Linked DNA regions of Nothobranchius furzeri. The protein of the gene in region 2 purifies or fractionates together with the protein of the main gene of each other region. This does not show direct contact. Links are inferred from orthologs where the notes say so. Each region holds a gene or a part of one and is shown on either strand. Other genes may lie near its edges.

What was found.
Region 1: the proteins of sin3b (region 2) and kdm5a purify together in Homo sapiens (affinity purification with mass spectrometry; 4 studies listed by BioGRID and IntAct, with this or other methods). This does not show direct contact. The link is inferred for Nothobranchius furzeri from reciprocal best matches to the Homo sapiens genes SIN3B and KDM5A.
Region 3: the proteins of sin3b (region 2) and suds3 purify together in Homo sapiens (affinity purification with mass spectrometry; 3 studies listed by BioGRID and IntAct, counting the BioPlex papers as one, with this or other methods). This does not show direct contact. The link is inferred for Nothobranchius furzeri from reciprocal best matches to the Homo sapiens genes SIN3B and SUDS3.
Region 4: the proteins of sin3b (region 2) and gatad1 purify together in Homo sapiens (affinity purification with mass spectrometry; 5 studies listed by BioGRID and IntAct, with this or other methods). This does not show direct contact. The link is inferred for Nothobranchius furzeri from reciprocal best matches to the Homo sapiens genes SIN3B and GATAD1.
Region 5: the proteins of sin3b (region 2) and sap130a purify together in Homo sapiens (affinity purification with mass spectrometry; 3 studies listed by BioGRID and IntAct, with this or other methods). This does not show direct contact. The link is inferred for Nothobranchius furzeri from reciprocal best matches to the Homo sapiens genes SIN3B and SAP130.

Annotation. Positions count from the first base shown.
Region 1 is NC_091741.1:53,784,131-53,788,264, reverse strand, and holds part of kdm5a (lysine-specific demethylase 5A), read right to left. Parts: coding exon 4,108-4,134; intron 4,028-4,107; coding exon 3,908-4,027; intron 3,819-3,907; coding exon 3,624-3,818; intron 3,534-3,623; coding exon 3,352-3,533; intron 3,232-3,351; coding exon 3,107-3,231; intron 2,933-3,106; coding exon 2,782-2,932; intron 2,695-2,781; coding exon 2,574-2,694; intron 2,463-2,573; coding exon 2,286-2,462; intron 149-2,285; coding exon 1-148. UniProt on the Homo sapiens protein: Histone demethylase that specifically demethylates 'Lys-4' of histone H3, thereby playing a central role in histone code. Does not demethylate histone H3 'Lys-9', H3 'Lys-27', H3 'Lys-36', H3 'Lys-79' or H4 'Lys-20'.
Region 2 is NC_091748.1:57,507,039-57,511,626, forward strand, and holds the start of sin3b (paired amphipathic helix protein Sin3b), read right to left. Parts: upstream 3,279-4,588; 5' UTR 3,077-3,278; coding exon 2,966-3,076; intron 1,957-2,965; coding exon 1,850-1,956; intron 1-1,849. Other genes in the region: haus5 (HAUS augmin-like complex subunit 5), read right to left, coding at 3,979-4,081.
Region 3 is NC_091750.1:34,589,396-34,593,529, reverse strand, and holds part of suds3 (sin3 histone deacetylase corepressor complex component SDS3), read right to left. Parts: coding exon 4,056-4,134; intron 2,231-4,055; coding exon 2,135-2,230; intron 2,038-2,134; coding exon 1,976-2,037; intron 1,901-1,975; coding exon 1,879-1,900; intron 1,559-1,878; coding exon 1,453-1,558; intron 730-1,452; coding exon 645-729; intron 1-644.
Region 4 is NC_091759.1:18,088,353-18,092,720, forward strand, and holds gatad1 (GATA zinc finger domain-containing protein 1), read right to left. Parts: upstream 2,307-4,368; 5' UTR 2,080-2,306; coding exon 1,885-2,079; intron 1,523-1,884; coding exon 1,400-1,522; intron 1,326-1,399; coding exon 1,266-1,325; intron 1,178-1,265; coding exon 994-1,177; intron 921-993; coding exon 730-920; 3' UTR 507-729; downstream 1-506. Other genes in the region: chrac1 (chromatin accessibility complex protein 1), read left to right, coding at 3,590-3,742, 3,870-3,996. UniProt on the Homo sapiens protein: Component of some chromatin complex recruited to chromatin sites methylated 'Lys-4' of histone H3 (H3K4me), with a preference for trimethylated form (H3K4me3).
Region 5 is NC_091756.1:60,898,819-60,902,952, forward strand, and holds part of sap130a (histone deacetylase complex subunit SAP130a), read right to left. Parts: intron 2,332-4,134; coding exon 2,173-2,331; intron 2,095-2,172; coding exon 1,995-2,094; intron 1,882-1,994; coding exon 1,766-1,881; intron 1,681-1,765; coding exon 1,559-1,680; intron 1-1,558. UniProt on the Homo sapiens protein: Acts as a transcriptional repressor. May function in the assembly and/or enzymatic activity of the mSin3A corepressor complex or in mediating interactions between the complex and other regulatory complexes.

The DNA.
Region 1 (4,134 bases), on a different chromosome or scaffold from region 2:
CCCACCTCTCTGAGACAGTGAGGACCTCTTGTAGCTCTGCCATCGCCTTCTCCACAGCATGATGTGGAGCCAGTCCCACCCCCCAGTCGATCAGCCTCTTCATCAGCTCCAGAGTGACACAGTGTGGTTCAGAAAGGGTGACACGGACCTGAAGTTTGATGAAGATGGAAAAAGAGCTCTAGTCGTTTTACATTCAGGCTTTAAATTTTACTTTCTGGATTTCCATTTCAGAGCTGAGTATTTTAGGGAGTAAAATATTTAAAATAATTAAGTGATTTACTTTGAATGTGCACAGGAGACTGCATCATGAGTCACCATAAGGATTTGTAACCAGCATCACTGACAGTTGCTGCTCGAGGAGACACGGTGTGTAAAAACAGAGACTCTTGATGATGTAAAACTATTTTCCAATTCTCAAAGGTTTCCAATATGCAAATTAACTCATCCACTATTAGTTTAAAAACCTCTTCACACTATCACGTTTACAGCTTTTTTTTTCTTTGTTCTTCTTCATATTTACAAGGTCATCTCTATGCATTTAACCCTATATAATAGTTTGTTCTTTGAGGCTCCAGAGCATTTGAAACTTTAGGCGTGTTTCCACGAGCGGAACTTCAGGGTAAATTTACCAGCATTTCCCGGCATGCGCGTCCATTCCACCGGGCCATTTTCCAGGCCATTTAAGGAATTTTCGGTGTGCACGAATAAGGACAGGGTTAGAGCTCACATTAATAACATAATTCGGTCAGCATACTTCCATCTACGTTCCATAAACCGTCTTCGCCCCTCACTGACCCCTCACACTGCCGCCATTCTCGTCCACAGCCTCGTCACCTCCCGTCTCGACTATTGCAATTCACTTCTTTATGGTCTCCCCAACAAACTCCTTCATAAACTGCAACTGGTCCAGAATTCAGCAGCCCGTATTATCACCAGAAACCCTTCCTTTCACCACATCACCCCGGTTCTCCAACAACTTCACTGGCTCCCAGTTAAATTCAGGTCCATCTCCAAAATTCCCCTCCATACCTTCAAAGCAATCCACAACCTCTCTTCTCCATATATCTCAGACCTTATAAGTATTCACACCCCATCCCGTTCACTCAGATCTTCTTCTTCCATCCATCTTGCGGTTCCTTCTGCCCGTCTCGCTACCATGGGGAGCAGAGCTTTCAGCCACTCTGCTCCTCGTCTCTGGAACTCACTTCCCCCAGACATCAGGAACATCGACAGTTTTACCCTTTTCAAAACTAAACTCAAAACACATATGTTTAAATCTGCCTACAACCTCTGATTTTACTGAACTGTTTCTCTCAGTTTTTTTTTCCTTGTTTGGGTTTTATTATTGTTTTATTGTATTTTATTAAGTATTTTCTGTCAAGTGACCTTGGGTGTCCTGAAAGGCACTTTTAAATAAAATGTATTATTATTATTATTATTATTATTATTAGTTGGAGTCCCTGATTAAATTGTTTTTTTTTCTTGCCATCTTATGGAAAGAAATAAAGTCTCAAAGCACAACAACGTTGCAATTCTTTGAATAATCAGACGTGTTAAGCCTCTACAATCCTAACAAATCCCTGCTAAGGGACAGGTTTACTAAAGTCTTGGCTGGGATTGGTTAAAGAGTGAGTAACACCTAAATTAACCTTTTTGCTGATAAAGATAGATGAGTGTCTAATAGTGCTGTAGACATGTGTAACCATTAGTGTGGCAGTTTAGTGCAACTTACGTTAAACTTATTTCAGCCCCAAACCGTAATTCTATCACCATCTTCAGGTTAAAAACTCATCTCCACATTTATTTAGAATCAGCTGTGGCTGACGGCTAAGCTGAAAAACGTGACATTGTCAGCAAATTACTACAAGGCTGCAATGCACTGGTCTCCAGGTGAGGCAGCCGCACCTCCATCCGGCTCAACTACTCACCTGCCGATATGACATGTTGGAGCTCTGAGCTGCTTGCCTCCTTTAAAAAAAAAAAAAAGCCCTCCTCCCCTTTTCGTCTAATGATCTCAGTGGACATAAAATCCTCCAGAATGCTGCAGAATCTGTGTCTGCTCTTCTCCTGAGAGGTAAGTCTGCTGTGAGTGTATGCTTGCTTCCATGTGTGCTCGTGGACTTGTTTTTCAACAGAGAAACAGCGCACGCTGGGGGGTTGCCATCTGTCATTGCCTCAGTGCTGCTCTCTCGGTTCATCAGGCTCTTTTAGAAGTGTTTTGTTAACAGGAAGTGTGGATGAAATACGTCTCCACCCAGGCCTTGGCTCCCACTTTAACAGCTCACCTCATCAAGCCACCTGGCCTGTTGCAGCTCCTGTTTGAGTCTAGGCAGCTCGGGCAGCTCTACGTCCAGGCCGCTTCCCAGATCCAAAAGCTCCTGCAGCTTGGCGGAATCGGGCGTCTCGTCTGATAAAGCCACCTGGGCTCGCTCGTGGAAGTCCTCCACAGTCTCCAGTAACTCCTAAAAACACATGGGGAGTTAAAGAAAAGAGGTCAGATGTCATCAGAGGAGTGAAGCAGGAGGAAACATGCTGTATGTGGGCATCGTATAACAATAACAGACAGGACTGACTTTGACTTGTCGCGCCTGGCTGATGATACATGGCAGCCTGTAGAGCTGGCCCACAAAGGCTTTCAGCTCATCTACGGTCAGTTTGGTGCGATTACGGCTGCTTTCAGAACGAAGGCGGCTGCTGCAAAAACAGACGACACCGTCAGCTCTTCTCTGGACCTGACAATGGGAGCTCCACTGCTGGCCTGTGGTGTGAAGGTGTACAGACCTGTGCCTCTGCTTACGGCTGAGCAACAACTGAGCCACTGAGGAACACGTCTCCGCTTCTTTCACCATCTCCCTCAAGCGACGGAACAACGAGTTCTCAGGGTATTTCCTGTCTTCTGCGTCCTCCAGCAAAACCTTGAGTTCAATCAAATCTATAAGACAAACAAGGAGATAAAAATTCAAAGGGATACGTTCGAGATTAGATTTCTGTTTCAGTTTTGGAGCTAATAGATAAAAGTTCTGATCAGATTGAAAAAGGAACATGTTTTATGTGCATTTTCAGGTTATAATAAGGTTTAAGACTGTGGAGAAAAACATGCATGGACCTTTTTTGTTCTTCTGATCCGCTACCAAAGCTTCAGAGACCCTCTTGGCCCAGGTGTCGTAGGACTGAGCCCGGGTCTTAACGCCATACAACATGGATGGAAACTCCTCCAGATCATAACGATATCTGAGACATAAAAACGAAGCTGAAGGTGGTTAACGGAAGAAATGGAACACCAAGTTAGGATCCCGACTTCTAAATTTAGCCCACAAAAGAAACAGGTTTTTTATTCATGAAAATTCCTACCGAAGACACTTGTTGCCAAGAGGACAGTCGCAGAGATCCTTGGCATGATGGAGGCAAACCAGCCGGTCCGGACAACAGGGACAGGTCAACGCCGAAAGGAAGCAGGTGGTCTTACACTTGTGACACTGACGCTCATCGTCTGGAACGAGCTCAAAGACCTCCTGTTCTGATGACAGCACCCCCTACATCCAGGAAACAAAAGATGATTTTTAACGGTTAGGTTTGAATTTCAGCTCAGTCACGGTGCAGTCCAACACTTTTGACATGTTCACCATTTCTTGGACAGCCTGCCTGAGCTTCGTCTCCTCCTCTATCATCTCTCCCATCTCCTTGAAAATGGACGCAGCCAGTTCCACGTCGAGGCTCTCGGGATCAGCCGCCATCTTGCACAACAGTTCTTCGTGGGAGAAGACGCAGTAGCGGTGGAGCCGTCGGTAGTGAGCAACGCACTGGCGCCCCAAAGGTAACTGGGAGAGCATGTGAAAGCGTGACTAACTCCGCCGTGAAGGAAACAAGAGCGGTGTTAAATGGAATGTGCTAGGAGGACTCTCCTCACCCAGTCAGCTGTGCAGAAATTAACAGCTTCTGCAAAGTTGTAGCCCTGGTTGAAGCCGCTGTGATAGGCTCTGGGGAAGGTCACCACAAACTCCCCGGCACACTGGTTAGTCCTGTAAACCTGAGACGCAGTCACAAAGATAAGGCCGGGGAACAACAGAGACCATACAGACACGTCCTCAGATCAAACATCCACCCTACAGGAACACCGTGCTCCATGAGGACGTT
Region 2 (4,588 bases):
TAAAAATTAACCTTGTCCACCCAGTAGGATGGTATCTAGAACACAAGCTCTAAAATATTAAGTTTCAAAGCAATAACACTCACTTCAAAGCTCTTTTGCACAACCGACATATAGTAAATTCTTCTATCAAGGTCATTAGGTCATTCTTGTATAAAAGGGTTTTCCTTTCGAGTCAGGCGTACCTACAACTGTAATCAAGTGGTTCAAAGAGTGTGCTCAAAGTATTTGCCTTTTTCACAGGACAACAACAGGGAGTTGTGAAGGCAACGTCAGCATTCGTTTTACAGCAACGATTCACCAGTCTGAATTAATTAAAAATATATTAAAATTTTTAAAAGAGGAAGTTTGTCTGCTTTTATCTACGATGTGATCTACTAAGAATCTTCTAAAATGAAAGTGACCCAGACACAAGTGCTTGATTGTGAGAAGTTTGTACAAATGTTGCAAGACTTTAGACATTATCATGATGCTTTTGTGGAATATATGTTTATGTTTATTAATTTAGCAGACGCTTTTATCCAAAGCGACTTACAATTTATAACCTATAGGGCATGTTGCGATCTGTGGGGGAAACCGGAGTACCCGGAGGAAACCCACGCATGCATGGGGAGAACACGCAACTCCACGCAGAAAGGCCGCAGCTGAGTTTTGAACCTGCGACCTTCGTGCTGCGAGGCAACAGTGCTAACCACTGCGCCAATATTTGGGTATATATTGTTGGGTAATGTAAAGAAGCATGTCTCTGGGTCATTTTCACTTGTGCATCTCCTGGGAACCAAATTGCTTATATGACATATCGCATGTCTGTCAATAATATAACAGATAATTAGTTTGAGTTTCTGACCTATTTTGAACCTTTACCAAGAACCAAAGGAGTAAAAAATATGATTGTTTCCTTTTTGCCACTGTGGTTCATTTATTTTTTCTTCTAAATGTTTTCTTAAATGACATCTGAAACAGCAGTCAGCATTTGTGACCATCATTTTCCAAACTAGCAGACGTTTATAAATGCCAGCTGGCAAATTTGAAAACAAATAGCATTTATGAACAGCTGTTGTGTGTGCCACCCAGCACCACACAGAGGCACAGACTGGTGATTTCGAAATATGGTTAAGGTAGGGAAAAAATTAGACAAGTAATGAGCTCACGGACTTAATTTTACTACTGTACTATAAATCTGTTCCCACCTTTTTGTTTTAAACTATACTAGCGTTTTTTTTTTTTTTTTTTTTTTTTTGCAGTGGTGGTCAGTTTGTCACAATATTCCTGTCTCTAAGAATTGTTGATTAAAGAACAGCAAAAAAGTGGTGTTCATTATTTCTGTGTCAAAACTTGGGGTAGATTAACGTTTACTGTTTTTTATACGTTGGCATCATCTGATATTTGTCCTAAATAAAGCAGATTTAAAGTCAGGCTCATCCTTGGGCAGCCCGGTGTGGTTGCAGAATTAAATTTAAATGTATTTTTACATTCAGTAATAACATCTGCATAATAAACACTCCAAATTAACTTTATGTGTCTGACTTTAACACTGAGCAATACACAAAGATTTAACAATTAGTTAAATTAAGAGTTCAAAAACAGATTCAGGAACTTTGTGCATCAATCGATGGTGAAATTCTAGCATGAAAAGGTGGAAAATGTCTGGATATTGGCCATGAAAAGCAGCCCAAAAAAATCTGCAATACACATCAGCCACTGACATTGGCATTAGAAAAACCAATATCGGTTGACCTCTAGTCAAAACAAAGAAAACGTTTGAGATCAAGAACATTGTCCAACTCTGAACAGCTTTGATCAAGAGTGACTAATACAAACGTTTAGTCTGCTTAGACATAATCACAGATACCTCTGAGACTTGAACTCTTTCATGATGTCGAGAAACTTGTTGTATATTCCTGGGTCATTTGCAAAACGAATTTTGACTTGATCCAGATACGACAAGGCATCTTCAACCTGATTACAGAAAAAAAGAGAGAGAAAAGGATAATTAGTCTCAAACAGATTACATCTTGTTGATGGTTGAAGATGAATTTGACGGACGTTGGATGAGACAGCTCCCTGCTTACACCACAGTACTTACAACGTGGCTCTTATAATTATACAATGTAAATATCCACTATCATGGTAAATAATATATTTTTTAATCAAAAAACAATTTGCAGATCAAGCTGCACGTGTTCGCTTAATTACATACGATAAAGATTTAAATATAAATAACCTCTGCAGCTTTGGTTGATTGCTCTGGAGCTCTCTAAACCAAACGAGCTAGTTTAGACAGCGAAGAGAGAGGAAAAAAAACTGTTCACACAAAGCACTGTCACCAACAGACTACATCTGAAGAGGGTTGTTGTAGCTAACATTAGCCAACACAGCCAGTCAACTGAATACTCCCCAACACTCTTAACACCCACCCGCATACAATTTTTACACAATACGTTTAGTCGCAGCTGGTCCCCGGCCAAATGTGTCGTATCGGCAAAAGCTAAACGACAGGTTAAAAACACACTGCGACAACAAAGACACGTAAAATGAAGCTGCTAATCAACTGAAGTAGCCGTTGTTGGTTGGCCTGGCTGATGTCCCCCACTTTGTTCAAGCTGACTGAAAAAAATCCAACAAGGAGGAACTTCCCACAACCGAGGTCTGCCGTTTTATGTTTGCTCACAGCAGCTACCATTGATGGCGCAAATGAAAAAAAAAAGAAAAGTACTACAAACCGAGTCACTCGACTGTCACTCGCACACTCATTAATGGAAAACAGCTTCCACGTCTAACCTTACATGTCAGTGTCGAACAATTCAGGTGTGAAATACTTTTATTTGTCCAGTTAAGCCAACTATCGCTAGCCAGCCGTTTCTTTCACTACTCTCGAGCGGGGAGAAATCTAATGCGTTGAAATGAGCCGACGAACAAAATGGTTGTGACTGAGACTTTTCGCTTGTCGTGTCCGTTGTCCTCTTACCTTCAGCTTCTGGAAGTGCTGCTGCTGCACTTGCTTTTGTGTTATAACGTAAGGCTTGTCTTGAATTTGGTTTATTTGCTTCGCGGCGCTGTGCGCCTGAATCTTCGCCATTATCCCGGCGGCAGGGGGCTCGAGAGCCGCTACCACAACTTACGAGGGAAGCTTCGATGTTACCTCCAGTTGTTGGCTAGGCGACAAACGTTGCTCTCTCGGTCGGGAAGCCAGCCTGCCTGCCAGCAAGCGAGCAACCCTACTTTGCCTGGCTGGACAGTCTCAACACAGAGGCGAAAAGAACAGGGAACCCCGGGCAGAGTGGAGGGTGATGACTGACAAGCTGCTACTCGCCGAGAGTGCGACCGAACATCACCAGCGAACTCAGCAGACGGAAGCACGAACGGTAGGGAAATAAGCTCGAACACAATGGTTGTCGTTTAACGTTTTTTAAAAGAACTATCGCCTGTCTCTTTAAATTCGGCGGCAGTGGTCTGTCTTGGCGTCCGGAAGCCAGAGTAGGAGTGAAAAATAAGAAGAAAAAAAATGAGTGAAAAATTGAAGTGCGCAGCCGCAGCAGTGGGAGGAGCCGAGTTCACAAGAATCAGATTGCTCCACTCCCCCTTCACTGCTACAAAGAACAATGTAGCTCCGCGCTAAATGACACACGCGCACTGTAGGTTCAACTAAAACCCTCGGAACTGTAACCGTACAGAAAATGATCGAGCTATCGATGCACGGCTTTATTGTAACACCACGTGACCACATCCAGCATGTTTTCTGTGCAGGAGTAAATAGTTCTACACGAATGAATTGCGGGTAACTGAGCGAGGCAATTAAGCTAAGACAAAAACAAATGAGTAAAATTTATTGATGACTGCATTTTACATGATAAAACGAGTTCCAACAAGAGTACAACACACACACATTAGCTTACACATGTGCACTAGTTAACTAACAGTATAGTAATCTGTTTCTTAAAGGTTCCTAAAGCAAGAGGTGTAGAAATGTGGAGGTGTCAACTAGCAGGCTTTGGTAGCTATTCTCCACCTCTGAAGCCACTGTTGGAAAGTCAGCCCTCCTTTAACGACATCAGGTAGGGCATGCTGGGCTGGTTTGTCCCACCTACACAAACAAACAAAAACATAAACAGTAAATACAAAATAACCCTGAAAATTTTAAGAATAACAACATCAACGTAAAATAGACTAGGCTTGCTAATGACAGCTTTACCTGTATAACTACTTTTTCTGTGTAAACACCTCATCCTTTGTGTCATGCTGTGGTATGCATACCTTTCATGCACACCTCATACTGCAGCTAATATGTGAAAGTAGCTGCAGGAAGAAGTTATAGGAAAAAACAAACTTAACAGTTATCTTTGAAATGTAGCCTGGCTGATAACGTACCACTTTCATTTTCACTACCAGATCAGGTTTAGGTAAGCAGCACACTACTTAATGTGCTTTACAACATAGCAAATTTGTCTAACAGGTATTTTTTAAAGAACACATCTAATCAGAATCAGAAGGGTTTTATTGCCATATGTGTAAGAAATCACAACATTACAAAACTGCAGTGTTGACATTTTACTTTGTTGCAATTTCTAAAGAAAACAATAAAGTACAACTA
Region 3 (4,134 bases), on a different chromosome or scaffold from region 2:
CACTATTGGCTAAGAGGTACCCTAGAATGTTAGCTGGTACCATATGATGTCACAATGTCATTGTGAGCCTGTGTGTGGGTGTATTTGTTAGTGGCTCCGCCCTCTCGGTCTGCTAGGCAACAGCATGTGTTGCATTTTTCAAACAGGAAGTGGGTGTGGAGTAAGACTCTGGTAGGGGGTGACTTGCTCTTTAAAATGGCTGAAACACCTCCTTAGATGAATACTAGCAGGAGCATCTGTGAAATGTGGCGTTTGTAAAAGAAAAAGCATGTTTCTATGACAACGGGAGATGGCGTTTTAAACGCACGAGAAATTTCAACACCGTAAACGAGTCTCAACATCGATTACACGACGACTAATATTAACATAATCCACACCTAAAAATGCATAACAGTTCCCTAAAAGAGCAAGAATAAATGAAAAGTTACATTATTATTTATTCAAGAAAATTCCTTTAATTTTCAGTAGATCAAATATGTATTTTATTAATTAGCTTCGTGATAATCGGAGATTTGTATCCGAGTTGAACGATAAATATTCCACAGAAGATTCGGAAGCTCTTGGCTTCAGATTAACGACACAATAACCAAAAACCTCTTCCTACGTCTTTTAGGACGTTTAGTTTCATGAGGACCAAGACTCACCTCGTTGGTTCCTACGGAGCTGATGACACAGCTGATCTTCGTGCTGTCTTTTGATTCCAAGTAGATGGCTTGACTCTTGTGGTACCTGTCACCAGTAAAGTCACAGTTAATCACCTGTGGAGGGAAACAAGGGCTCGCCTTTTAAAACCATATCACTTCAGACGGAGCTTCTCCTGAGACGAACCGAGTCGATAACTGGACTGAAAAGTGAAAACAAAAACCCGTTGCATATTTTAAGACTCCACACATCAAAAGGACAGAAACGAGCGAGACGAGACTCGCTGAAGTGTTTGATCATTAAGCCCACAGAGGAAGAACGACACGTGTTTCTGCCTCCGGCTCTTGGAGGTGTTCCGGTGTTCTCGTAAATGAGACTTCGCCTTCAAAGACGAGCGCCAGTGCCTCTCGACCTCTCAGCTTTCCGTCTACATCAGCAGCTCATAAGAGAAGTTTATTGCGGCGTCTCCTTTAGAAGAGCCGACGTGTCTGTCGAAGCCGCGTCTGGTCAAGGTCTCTTATTATCTTTACTCGGGTACCAAAGCAGCACGAGGAGCTGCTTCCCTATGCAGACGTGCTCCTGAACACGGATTTAACAGTTGGAGTCAGCCCCCAGCTCGTACTGATGTCCTTATTCCTGTCGCCCAGAACTAAACTCCAAGTTATTCAAATATAACAGGCCTGCGTGTGATGAGTCATCAACCCCGTGGCAACGTGGCCATCTAGTGGTGGCCAAAGCTGTAGGCACCCCAGGAAACACTACACCATGCGGCACAAAGGCCCGTTTAGATTTGAACACTTGCTCTTTTACCATCTTTTATCGTAGTAAAGCTTCCCGTCTTCGATGCGGGCTTCGTAACGCTGAGAGGGAGTCTCCAAGGGCGCAGACGGGATGTGTTCTGGAGACGAGGGAGACACTAAACACACACACACAACCGGTTAGCGACAAGGCACCTGAGGAAAAAAACCCATCAAGACGATGCTTCACACATTACTGGATCTGCACAAAACACACACATGGTATTGTTATGGATAATTGCTTCATGCATCATTTCTAGGTCAGAAAACGCAGACTTTTGCAATGGTCGCCAGGCAACCAGATGAAAAGGACCAGTGATGAGTAAAAGTACTTAAAATGTTCTTTCAGGTGAGAAAAGGCGATGCTTTCATTACAGTCAGAACATATCACAAAATCCGTTTATGTGTGAACTGGTTCTGTTGCGGGTCTTTAACATACCTGGTCGTTTCGGAGACTTGAGCTGTAAGAAAAGCATAAAAATGTTTAGAAGACAAACACACGAGAATCAGCAGAGCTGCGGGAACTTCCCACAAACCTTATTAAGTGTTCTTAAATCTTCCATTATCTGCTCATCTGTCAACAAATAATTTAGCTGAGGTTTGAGGAGTTAAGAAGTAAACAGATTTGGCTCCATCGGTACAGATCCCGAGCAGGATTAAGTCGAGACTGACGCCCGAGCTTGTCTGAAGGATATCTGGTGCCGGTTTCCTCCGCTTGTCTGGAATTGGAACTGGATCGTTGGGCCGTCTCCTCAGCTTTCGAGTCATGATTGGTTTCACTTCCATTGAGTCTGTCAGTGAAAAAATAAATAAATACATTTCTGTTAAAGAGACAATCTGTAGTTTTTACCGTTAATCTCTGGAAAAATCCATCGAAATGTTGTTGAAGACGAATAAAATGATGCCCAGTTGTTGAAATATTGGCGGCTTCGTACCGTACAACCATGAAAATCGGGTCTGAAGTACACAGGGCGCAGGTCTAACATCTTGGGGGCCATATTAAACACCATCTTTGGCCGGCTCGTGGTCCTGCGCCTGGCGATGATGTCACAACAGATGATTGGCTGGACGTACGGCTCACAGAAGTGATGCTCAGAGATTTAGGCAGTAAGAAACCCAAACTTAAAAACAAAACGGCTAATCTCTGTCCAAAGCCAGTGTGAAAGAACACATTTACTGGGGCTGCATGGTGGCGCAGTGGTTAGCACTGTTGCCTCGCAGCAAGAAGGTTGTAGGTTCGAAACTCGGCTGTGGCCTTTTTGCGTGGAGTTGCGTGTTCTCCCCATGCATGGGTGGGTTTCCTCCGGGTACTCCGGTTTCCCCACAGATCACAACATGCCCTATAGTTAAAAATAATAATAAATTTGGATAAAAGCGTCTGACAAATAAATAAATAAACAAACGTAAACATAGAACAGAATCAAAAAAGAGACGCAATATATTTTCGCCGAGGGGTATTGCCGTAGTATGGTGGCGTCATCGGCAGGCGCAGGACCCCGAGCAGAACCAGAAACTACGGCACCTCTAAACTGTAAACGGCACTGCATTCTCTCGATGGCATTAACTGAAGGACCATGAGGAGTCACGCCAAGGTCACATGCTTCCTGCTCCACAGGTAACAACATTTACCATAATGCCTTTCTAAACTAGCAAAGGTCAATGGCGTCAACCTGCCCTGAAACACACGTACTGCCGCCTAGCTGCAGGAAGCTACACACCGCTACTTTAACATTAGAGACGCTCCCATCACGGTTTTGGTGAATGGTGTTTAGTGCCATCTTGTATCTTCTCAAAATGCAGGTTTTTGGTTGCGGCAGAAGCGTCTCAGGGAAGATACCAGAGGGGAGGGGTGAGTGTTTCAAACCTAGCTTGTTGTGTAGATTCACAGCTTTAAAGAGCAAGTCACCCCCAAATCAACTTATTATTCCTGATAAACTATATAAATGTGTGTCTAATCGTGCTGCAGACACGTGTCGTCAATAGTTTTGCACTTTAGTGCATTTTAGTTCAAATTTAAATATTCTGCCTAAAACTGTCAGTGTTGTGCCGTTGTCAGGTAAAAACTCTGCACCGCATTTGAATTTAAATCTGCCATCACTATTGGCTAAGAGGTACCCTAGAACGTCGGCTGGTACCATATGATGTCACAATGTTGTGAGCCTGTGTGTGTGTTTGTAAGCGGCTCCACACTTTCGGTCTGCTAGGCAACAGCATTTGTTGCATTTTTCAAACAGGAAGTGGGAGTGGAGTTAAGACTCTGGTAGGGGGTGACTTGATCTTCAACAGACAGCCATACCAGTGTTTCCAGAGCCCAGACTGATGAGAATGGCACTAAGGTTAATGTCTGACAGCAGCAGAGTACATTCATTTTAAGATGCATTTAATCTGCTGATGAAATTATTTATATAATTTCTTCATACAGCAAGTTAGCTTACAAATACTTTACAGGAAGACAAACATCCACACATGCTGTATGTTGTAATTCTGCTCAAAGGTAGAGATAAAAGTTTTGGTCCATATCGCCCAGCCCGACGTTAAATGTTCAGGAACTCATATCCACTCTCTTTTGCCAGTTTTTTCCTCTCAGGGCAAATAATCACTCTCAGGTTTCCTTACCGCCCGTCAGCTCCATTGTTAACTTCTCATTCTCTATCATCTTTTTCTTTTCCTCCAGCTCTGCGATTAGATTTTCCTT
Region 4 (4,368 bases), on a different chromosome or scaffold from region 2:
TTAGCGTTACACAGTGTATTAAGCATTAATAAAAGCTCGCTTAATTAGCATTAACTATTAAGTGTCCTTAAGGTTGGGACAAAGGGAGGGGAGGGGGTGTCTGCTTAGTAATGCATGACGTAATATTGTTAACTTTAATAGTTTATTAATGCAGAAAGTAATGTTAATAAAGGGACCCTTATTGTACAGTTTTACCAGTTTATTATTCACAAGCTTGGTTTTAATATCTGGACCTGTATTACATTTGATAGACACGATTAATTAAACCATTTTCTATTTATAAATTCATAAATATTGCATTCAGTAAAATTGAAAAATACATTTTTTGTAATTGATTTATTATAAAATAAACAAATCCGTTTTAAATTATTTATTGGTGTTTTTAAATCTATAGAATGTAAATAAGAAGTAAAAACTAAACATTTCATTTCCAAATAACAAAATAATATTATTTGCAGGATACTGAAATTCTTGCACAAACTTTCTTCAACAATAACAGGCAAAACTGATGCTTGAAGGGTTTTTTCACATTTTTTTATTTGCAAATTTATTCCAATATTGCAGTTATGTGTAAACAACTTGTATACGCCGTCCATCTAGTATCAAATTGCAACTTTCCTTTATACTGAAATAGTGGCTGCCGTCCGCAACCATTTTCTCTATGTTACATAAATGTACATTTATCTGTTTGACAACAACAGGCAACAGGCCAAGTCCACATCGGTCCTGTTAGCTCGCGCTGCTGACAGACTCTTTGACAGTAAGAGTTGGTGTGGATCCTATGTGGGTCCAGATGTAACCCTTTTCAGGACATATGGGGATGGTGGGGAATGGGGAGCTCTGAGACTTGAAATACTCCGATGGGGCGTGGCACACAAACTCCAAGTATTCCATCTTTCTGGGTAGATCCTCCTCTGGTCCTGATAAACATAATAAAGCGAAATAAGATAAATCACTCACAAAAAAAATCCTTTATTTAGCCACAGTTCTTACCGACGATGTACGTTCCAGGGTTAAATTGATCGCTCGAGCTGGCCTGAGTGGGAATGAGCCACGTCAGTGCTGCACTTTTCTCACAGTACTGGTCCTGCACAAATCCTCTGATCTGAGCGTAGTACGGCTTTCCATCCTCCTCATCTATCACTTTGATCACATCGCCCACCTGGTAGTAAACGCCCTGCAAATACAAACACAGGATGGAAGAAGAAAAGATTAAAGTATCATCATTACGATGCCTTTTAGTTTAATACGAATCAGAATCATACCTTATAAAATATAGATTCTGATGTGATGATTGTTGCTACGGATTCTGGTGCTTTGATAGGCTGCGAGGAAATAATTTGGATGAGGTCAAATAAAAGATATCAGAAATAAATACATTAAAGAAGCAGAAACTTACATTTTTGAGCTTGAAAATGTGTCTTCTTCCTTTTCCTTTTGTTGACACTTTTTTCTCAGAAGCAGGAGCTTTGTACTTGGTGCTTCTCAGCCGTGCAGACCTCCTGTGGATTTCCTGTTTGGACTACAAATGGACACATTTAAATATTTCTGCTCCTGATGGCATTTTTTCAGCAGAAAAAAAAACTATAAATCAGTTTATTTTAATTAAAAATATTAAACTAAATGGTAAAATTATTTTATTAAAAAAATGACATGAAGTATTATTTTCAAACTATTTTATTCCAGTTTACTTTCTAGAAACATTTTCATGGCCACCAGGGGGCGCTGTTGTTACACCAAGACACTACTAAAGAAAAGCAAAAACAATGATGTTATAGTCATGTGTACGCTTTCTAAAAATTAACTAAAATAAGACATAAAAACTAACAATTCCTCATGAACTCTCGGATTTTGTTCGTGGCGTTTCTCTTCGGTGTTTCTGACCTGCTTGGCCCCGCCGTTGCTGGGCTGTGTGATGGTTGATATGGAGGAGGGTCCCGAAGCTCCCCCGCCGCCGCCGCTACTGCTGCTCTTCCCTGTGCAGTTGTTGCACAGTATTTCACCCTGGGTGCCTTTCTTCCACATTGAGGAAGAGTTCGTCTTACAGACAAAGCAGCACGGCTTCAAACCCAGAGGCATTTTACCGGCTAGAGAACGATGCCTCCGTACGTAAAAACGATCACAACAGAAACGCAGCTGCTTGGCTTATTACCAGATCACGACCGGATGTAGCTTTAGCATATTTCGCCAACGATTATCAAACAAAAATAACCGTAAAGACATCAAAAAGCCTTAAAACACAACGAAGTTAAAGCAGCATTATTTATGTACTGACTTGTTTCTACTTTCAGCGCGGAGGTTCTTCTTCAGCGTTTCCTTTGTTCTGAGGTCGGAAAACTATTGAAGTCAAGCGCCGCCTACTGGTGTGGAGGACTGCGTCGGGCGCTGGGCTGGGGCAGCTAAATGTGAGTCAGTATTTCCTTATTATCGTTGTTAAAATAGATATGAGTGCATGAACAACAACTTTGTGTTTTTTCAGGATTAAAATAATAAACTATTGATCACTAGTATCACTCATTCACATGTTTAAAAAGTTTGGATTGATATAGGAATTAACTTATTGAGTGCTGAAGCAGCGGCCTTCTTCTTCTTATCATTATTATTACAATGGGAGATAACCGTTTATTTGATTATTATCTGTTTAACAAAGTTGTTACTTTCCATGCCTTTGATTGTATCTTTTTCACTCTTTATTTTTACAGGTTTTTGCTGATTGAAAGACTGGCTTTCCCCACTAACAGACAAATAAAACGTCTTCTACTTTAAATTATTTAAATTATTAATATTTTTATTGTTAGTAGTAGCTAGTAGAAGTAGTAGAAGTAGTAGTAGTAGTAGTAGTAGTAGTAGTAGTAGTAGTAGTAGTAGTAGTAGTAGTAGGAGGAGGAGGAGGAGGAGGAGGAGGAGGAGGCAGAGTAGTAGTGGTGGTTGTTCCTGTTTTTTAATGTATTTCATATTTTTTACAGATTTCCTTAAAAGTTTTTAGAAAATTGGTATAATCCTTTGAGGAACTAAAATAATGTTAATTACTTTTGTTTACTTTTATAAACAATTCTGCAGTTTATTTTACTGTATTCTAACAAACACATTTTTACACTAGGACCTGTGATTCATGGAGAATAGAAACAAATGCAAACAAAATAAAAAGAGTTCCATTTCCTTTGCCTCACTATGGCAAAAATAATGATAGAGTTTATTCGAGATTATTCATTTGTATATTTAAGTATATTATATTAAATTATATTATATTAAATATAATAGTTTTAAACAAGCTGAAAGTTGTTTCTCTCAAGCATGGTTCTGTTTTGACCGTTTCCCAAGAGCTGGTTGGAATGATTGTCAGGTACTTTTTTAAAATACAAATATAGTATCAGGGTAAAATTTAATTACTATTTATTAAATTTAATCTAAATATACAGTGTTGTTTGAAATAACATCTTTTGTGCTGGGTTATACTCCTGCTTTCCAGCGGGAGGCGCTGTTTCAACGTAAAGACCACCAAAGAAATTGAAGACGGCGAAGAAGAAAGGCGTCACTCTTCAAAACAAAACTTAAAGTTCAGTCATTCTTGTCCTTTGTCCAAACAGAAATGTCTCGAAACAACCCAAACAAAGACAGCCAGACGCCGGACGCCAAAAAGTCCATCTCTCTCCCGGTGTCCCGGGTCAGACTGATCATGAAGAGCTCTCCGGATGTCTCCAGCATCAACCAAGACGCGCTGTTCCTCACCACCAAGGCTACTGTAAGCTGCCCTTGATGCTAATGTGGTTGTGTTTCTATTAGCGGGGGGTTAGCATAACTAGCTGGTGGTTGAACTAAAATCGTGTGAAGTTAAAATCGCTAAATATAGTTTTTAATCTGTTGTAAAGGAGCTGTTTGTGCAGCATCTGGCCCTGTCCTCCTTCAACAACGGCTCCGGGAAGGACAGCAACACCCTGGAATACAGCGACCTAGCTAAAACCACCGAGGAGAACGAGACCTTCCACTTCCTCACAGGCGAGTCTGGAGCTGAGCATCAGCGCGTCCTGAAGCCAGATTATTAGATACACTGGCCTTTATTGTATTTTAATGTTTTATTTATAAATAAGTGTTTTAATAAAGTCCCAGACACGAGGAAAATAGCAAAACGCCATTGGAAGCTAGCTTTTGGACCATTTAGGAAGATTTATTTTAGCTTTCCTGTATTTTACTGCCAAAAATGAAAGATTGGAATGAAACAGAATCAAACCAATAAAAAAAAACTTACAGATGAGAGAGAGAGCGATATGAATTTTCCACAAGAACTGTAAGCCGCTTACATTTATTTTAGCAACATGTAATTTTTGTGCCATTTGAACTTTATTTCTCAGAGAAAAGACCGATAATAAA
Region 5 (4,134 bases), on a different chromosome or scaffold from region 2:
TTCCAGTCAGGTTTTCGTAGAGCTCATTCTACTGAAACAGCTCTTCTTAGGGTCTCCAATGACCTTCTGACCCACAGTGATGCAGGGGACTGTTCTGTTCTGGTCCTGCTGGACCTGACTGCAGCCTTTGACACTGTTGACCATCACCTGCTACTGGAGAGGCTGAGAGACTGGGTAGGCCTATCAGGATCTGCTCTGGAGTGGTTCTCCTCTTATCTCTCTGAGCGCTCCTTTTCTGTGGCTGTCCTCAAGTTTAGATCCTCCACCACCTCTCTCACCCATGGTGTCCCACAAGGTTCTGTGCTGGGGCCTCTGCTCTTCCTCCTCTATCTGCTTCCTCTTCAGCACATCCTGAGCTCCTTCAAAGGAATCTCCTACCATCTTTATGCAGATGACATCCAACTGTACATCTCCTTTAAGCCCCATGAGATGTCTAAGCTGCAGCTGTTACACACCTGCTTAGACTCTATCAAAGCCTGGATGGTGGGAGCTTTCTTCAGCTGAATGAAGATAAGACTGAGATCCTCATCTGTGCCCCAGACAAGCTGGTTCCCAAAGTCAGAGACTCTCTTGGTCAGCTTGCTTCCCACACCCAACCTTCTGTCAGGAATCTTGGTATGACCTTTGACCCAGCTCTCACCCTGGATTCTCATGTCAGTTCTCTTGTTGGCTCTTCCTTCTTCCATCTCAGGAACGTTGCTAAGCTGAGTCCCATTCTGTCCCGCTCTGAACTTGAGACAGTTCTCCACACCTTCATCTCCTCACGCTTAGACTACTGTAACTCTCTTTTCACGTGTCTGAGCAGAACCTCCCTGAACCGTCTACAGGTGGTTCAGAACGCCTGTGCTCGGCTTCTGACCAAGTCCTCCAAACACACCCACATCACCCCGCTTCTCCTCCAGCTTCACTGGCTGCCAGTCAACTTCAGGGTTCATTTCAAGATCCTGGTTCTGGTCTATAAGGCCTTACATGGACAAGCACCATCTTACATTGGTGATCTTCTTAGTCCCTACACCCCCAGCAGGTCCCTGAGGTCCAGTGATCAAAGCCTACTGGTTGTGCAGCACCAGGCTAAAGGTCAAAGGTGACAGGTCATCTGCTGCTGTGGCCCCCAGACTCTGGACCTCTCTCCCCCTGAGCCTGAGATCAGTGGACTCAGTGGTCTCCTTTAAAAAGCAGCTGAAGACTCACTTGTTCAAGCTGGCTTTTGTATGACCTTCTTCACCTCTCTCTCTTTGTTCTGCTCTCCCCACCTATTCCACCTTCCTCAGGATCCACTGGTTTCCTTCTTTCCTGTTCACTCTCTCTCAACATTTTTTCTTTTAAATCGCAACATCTTATTTTTGCTCATTTTAAATGTATTTTTAAACATTTTCTAAATGCTTTTTTATATTTTTACATTTTTTGTTTTTGTGAAGCGCCTCGTGATTTTTGTCTTGAGAGGCGCTATAGAAATGATATTTTCTTCTTCTTCTTCTAAAACTAAAAAGGTGTGAACTGCTGCAGGTTAGCTGATTGAAACGTAACCTCTGATCTCTTCCATAGATGTAGAACGTACCCAAGAGTCCCATCCGAGTGAGTGACAGTTGGGTTGATAACTGGAGACTGCGTTCTAGTTGCTGAAATGGGGGCCACAACAGTCGGGAGCACAGCGGTGGAGGTTGTTACAGCAGGGCGCGACTGCAGACAGAAGGACAGAATATGTTACACAGACGGTTTCTTGTTCGGAACAACTAACCCCTCCTCTAGGTTCAGTTCCATGCACCTGAATAGTCTGATGGATGATGTGCTGCATTGTGGGCTGGCCAGGGCCCCCGCTCGCTCCAGTAGCAGGCCGCAAGGCTGTTTTGGAGCTGGACATAACAGCTGCTTGAGCAGCCCCTGCAGGGTAAACCATGAAATGACTTATTAAAACGGCTGAGTGAGAGACAGAACTGTTTCAACGACAAGTAAACATCAATCCTGGTGTACTGATCGTATCAGAAACTTCATACCTAGAGGTAAATGGGAAGTGAAGGTCTGGGGAGGGACGGCGGGCGCCCTAATGATGTGAATATTTGCTGGCATCAGGTGGTGTAAGTTACTGGAGTGACCCTGAAGCAGCAGGAAAACAGAACACGTCCATAACAGGAAAACCAAACTAAACAGAAAATTCATGTGACAAACACTCACCTGTTGACCACTGATGGTTGCCACGGGGATAGATGGCGTGGTGGGCATAGTGCTCTCTATGGTGACAGTAATGTGACTTGCCACCTTGGACATATGAGCCTGGTTGGAAGCTGGTGCCGGGGCGATAAGACGGCTGGGCATCGGGGACTTTAGTACAGCCTGAAAAAATATTGTGTTGAATTCTTAATAAAAATGTACCACAGCGTTTTCTCCTCACAAAAATCAACTCACAAGGTGTTTACAAATACCGGAGACCACTGCAAATGTATTGAAAAAACAAGTGAACCTGGCCTTTAGGGAAAACGGCGTGGTAGAGGGATGGAGTCCTACAGTACTTCGTTAAACTGGCTACATGTTTAGCAGGTGAGAATGGGGTGGGTTTTATAGCCTCAAAATCATATCACAGTAGTTCAAGGTCATAATGATAATCGTAAGAATTTAACAAAAAAAACTAAAGAAAAATGCAGCATGTCATCTGTGCCTGCAGCTTGCAGGTATCAGACCACCGGCTCGCCACAAAACGTATCCATAATGTGAAAGTCCATCGTAAAGTACAAACAAGTAGGGCTGAAACGATTCCTCGAGTACCTCGAATAATTCGAGTACAAAAAATCCTCGAGTCAAATTCTCTGCCTCGAAGCTTCGTTTAATTCATGTTTAATTAATTAATGGCTTTGCAAGCGCCCGTGGTCATGTTTCACCCGGTACGAAATGAGTGACGCACATACACACTGCACTGAATGCACACGCGAGCAGCGAACGCAACTTAACTTTCTTTTAAGCCACGGCGGACAACGTGGACCCCGGTGGAGTGCGAAAACGAAACAAAATGTCAAAGGTGTGGGACCATTTTTCACGTCGTAAGGTGGAAAACGTACTCCAGTGTAAATACTGTAAAATGGATTTAGCCTACCACAACACCTAGAGCTGAGGAAAATAATCAAATAATCGATGCATCGGGATGCGGACATAAACGATTCTGCATCGTAGAAGAGTACGCCATAATCGATTATAGTGGAATGTAGTTTTGTTTTTTTAATGGCGGCACCAGCGCAGATCCAAGTCTGTCTGAGTGAGCGTCCTCCACATTTACCTCCGCCTTAATGTGGTACTGCAGGGCTGAGCACTAGAGTTGTCACCCGAGACCAAACCGGAACAGAATCAGCCCGACCGGTTCTGTTGGATTTGGGCCGTGAATTATGTTAATTGAGCGGTTGTCGTGCGGCGCGCTCCGCTCGCTCGATCAGCGACAGAGAGAGAGAGAGAGAGACACTGTCTGCTCAGAGAGACGATCGGAGGACGCTCCTCCAAACACGCGTTATTATTTTCATAATTTAATTATTATTTCTCCTGGAAGCGCTCAGTCAGACTGCTTGTTGTAATGTAGGGAGAGCCGGTCTTGGGGAGGGGGCGGGGTCAGTGACAGCGGCTGCAGCGTGATCGTCTGTCTCTTTTATTTAGGGACACGGAGAAGTTAAAAGGAGAGAGAAATAGAAGTTCTTGTTCCACTTTATTATTTTGTGTCATGAAGATAAACTGATGTTAAACTCATCTTAAAGAGAAACTGGGAGGAAGCTTTGGTTCATTTTAAGTTACAGGAGGTCTGTCTCCTATCTGCTCCTCCAGAGACAGCATGGACATGAGGGTTAAAGGGTGAGGGTCCCACAGGACAGGTTAGTGGAAAGGTTTGTAGTTAGCTGGTTAGTGAAGGAGATCCATCATCTGGGTAATTTAATCCTAATCCAGCCCACAGCCTTCTGCTGGTGTTATTATCAGAAAGAATAAAACACACATCTTAAATATTATTGGAAGTGTAGAATTTGTTTTGTGTTTTATTATTTTCTGCATCAAACAGAACTTGATTCATTCTCCAACATTTCAGAAATTAACCACTGGGTTCAAATAAAATAAACTAAGTCAAACATTTCATTTGGTGTTATTTCTGACATCCTTGAACTGTGG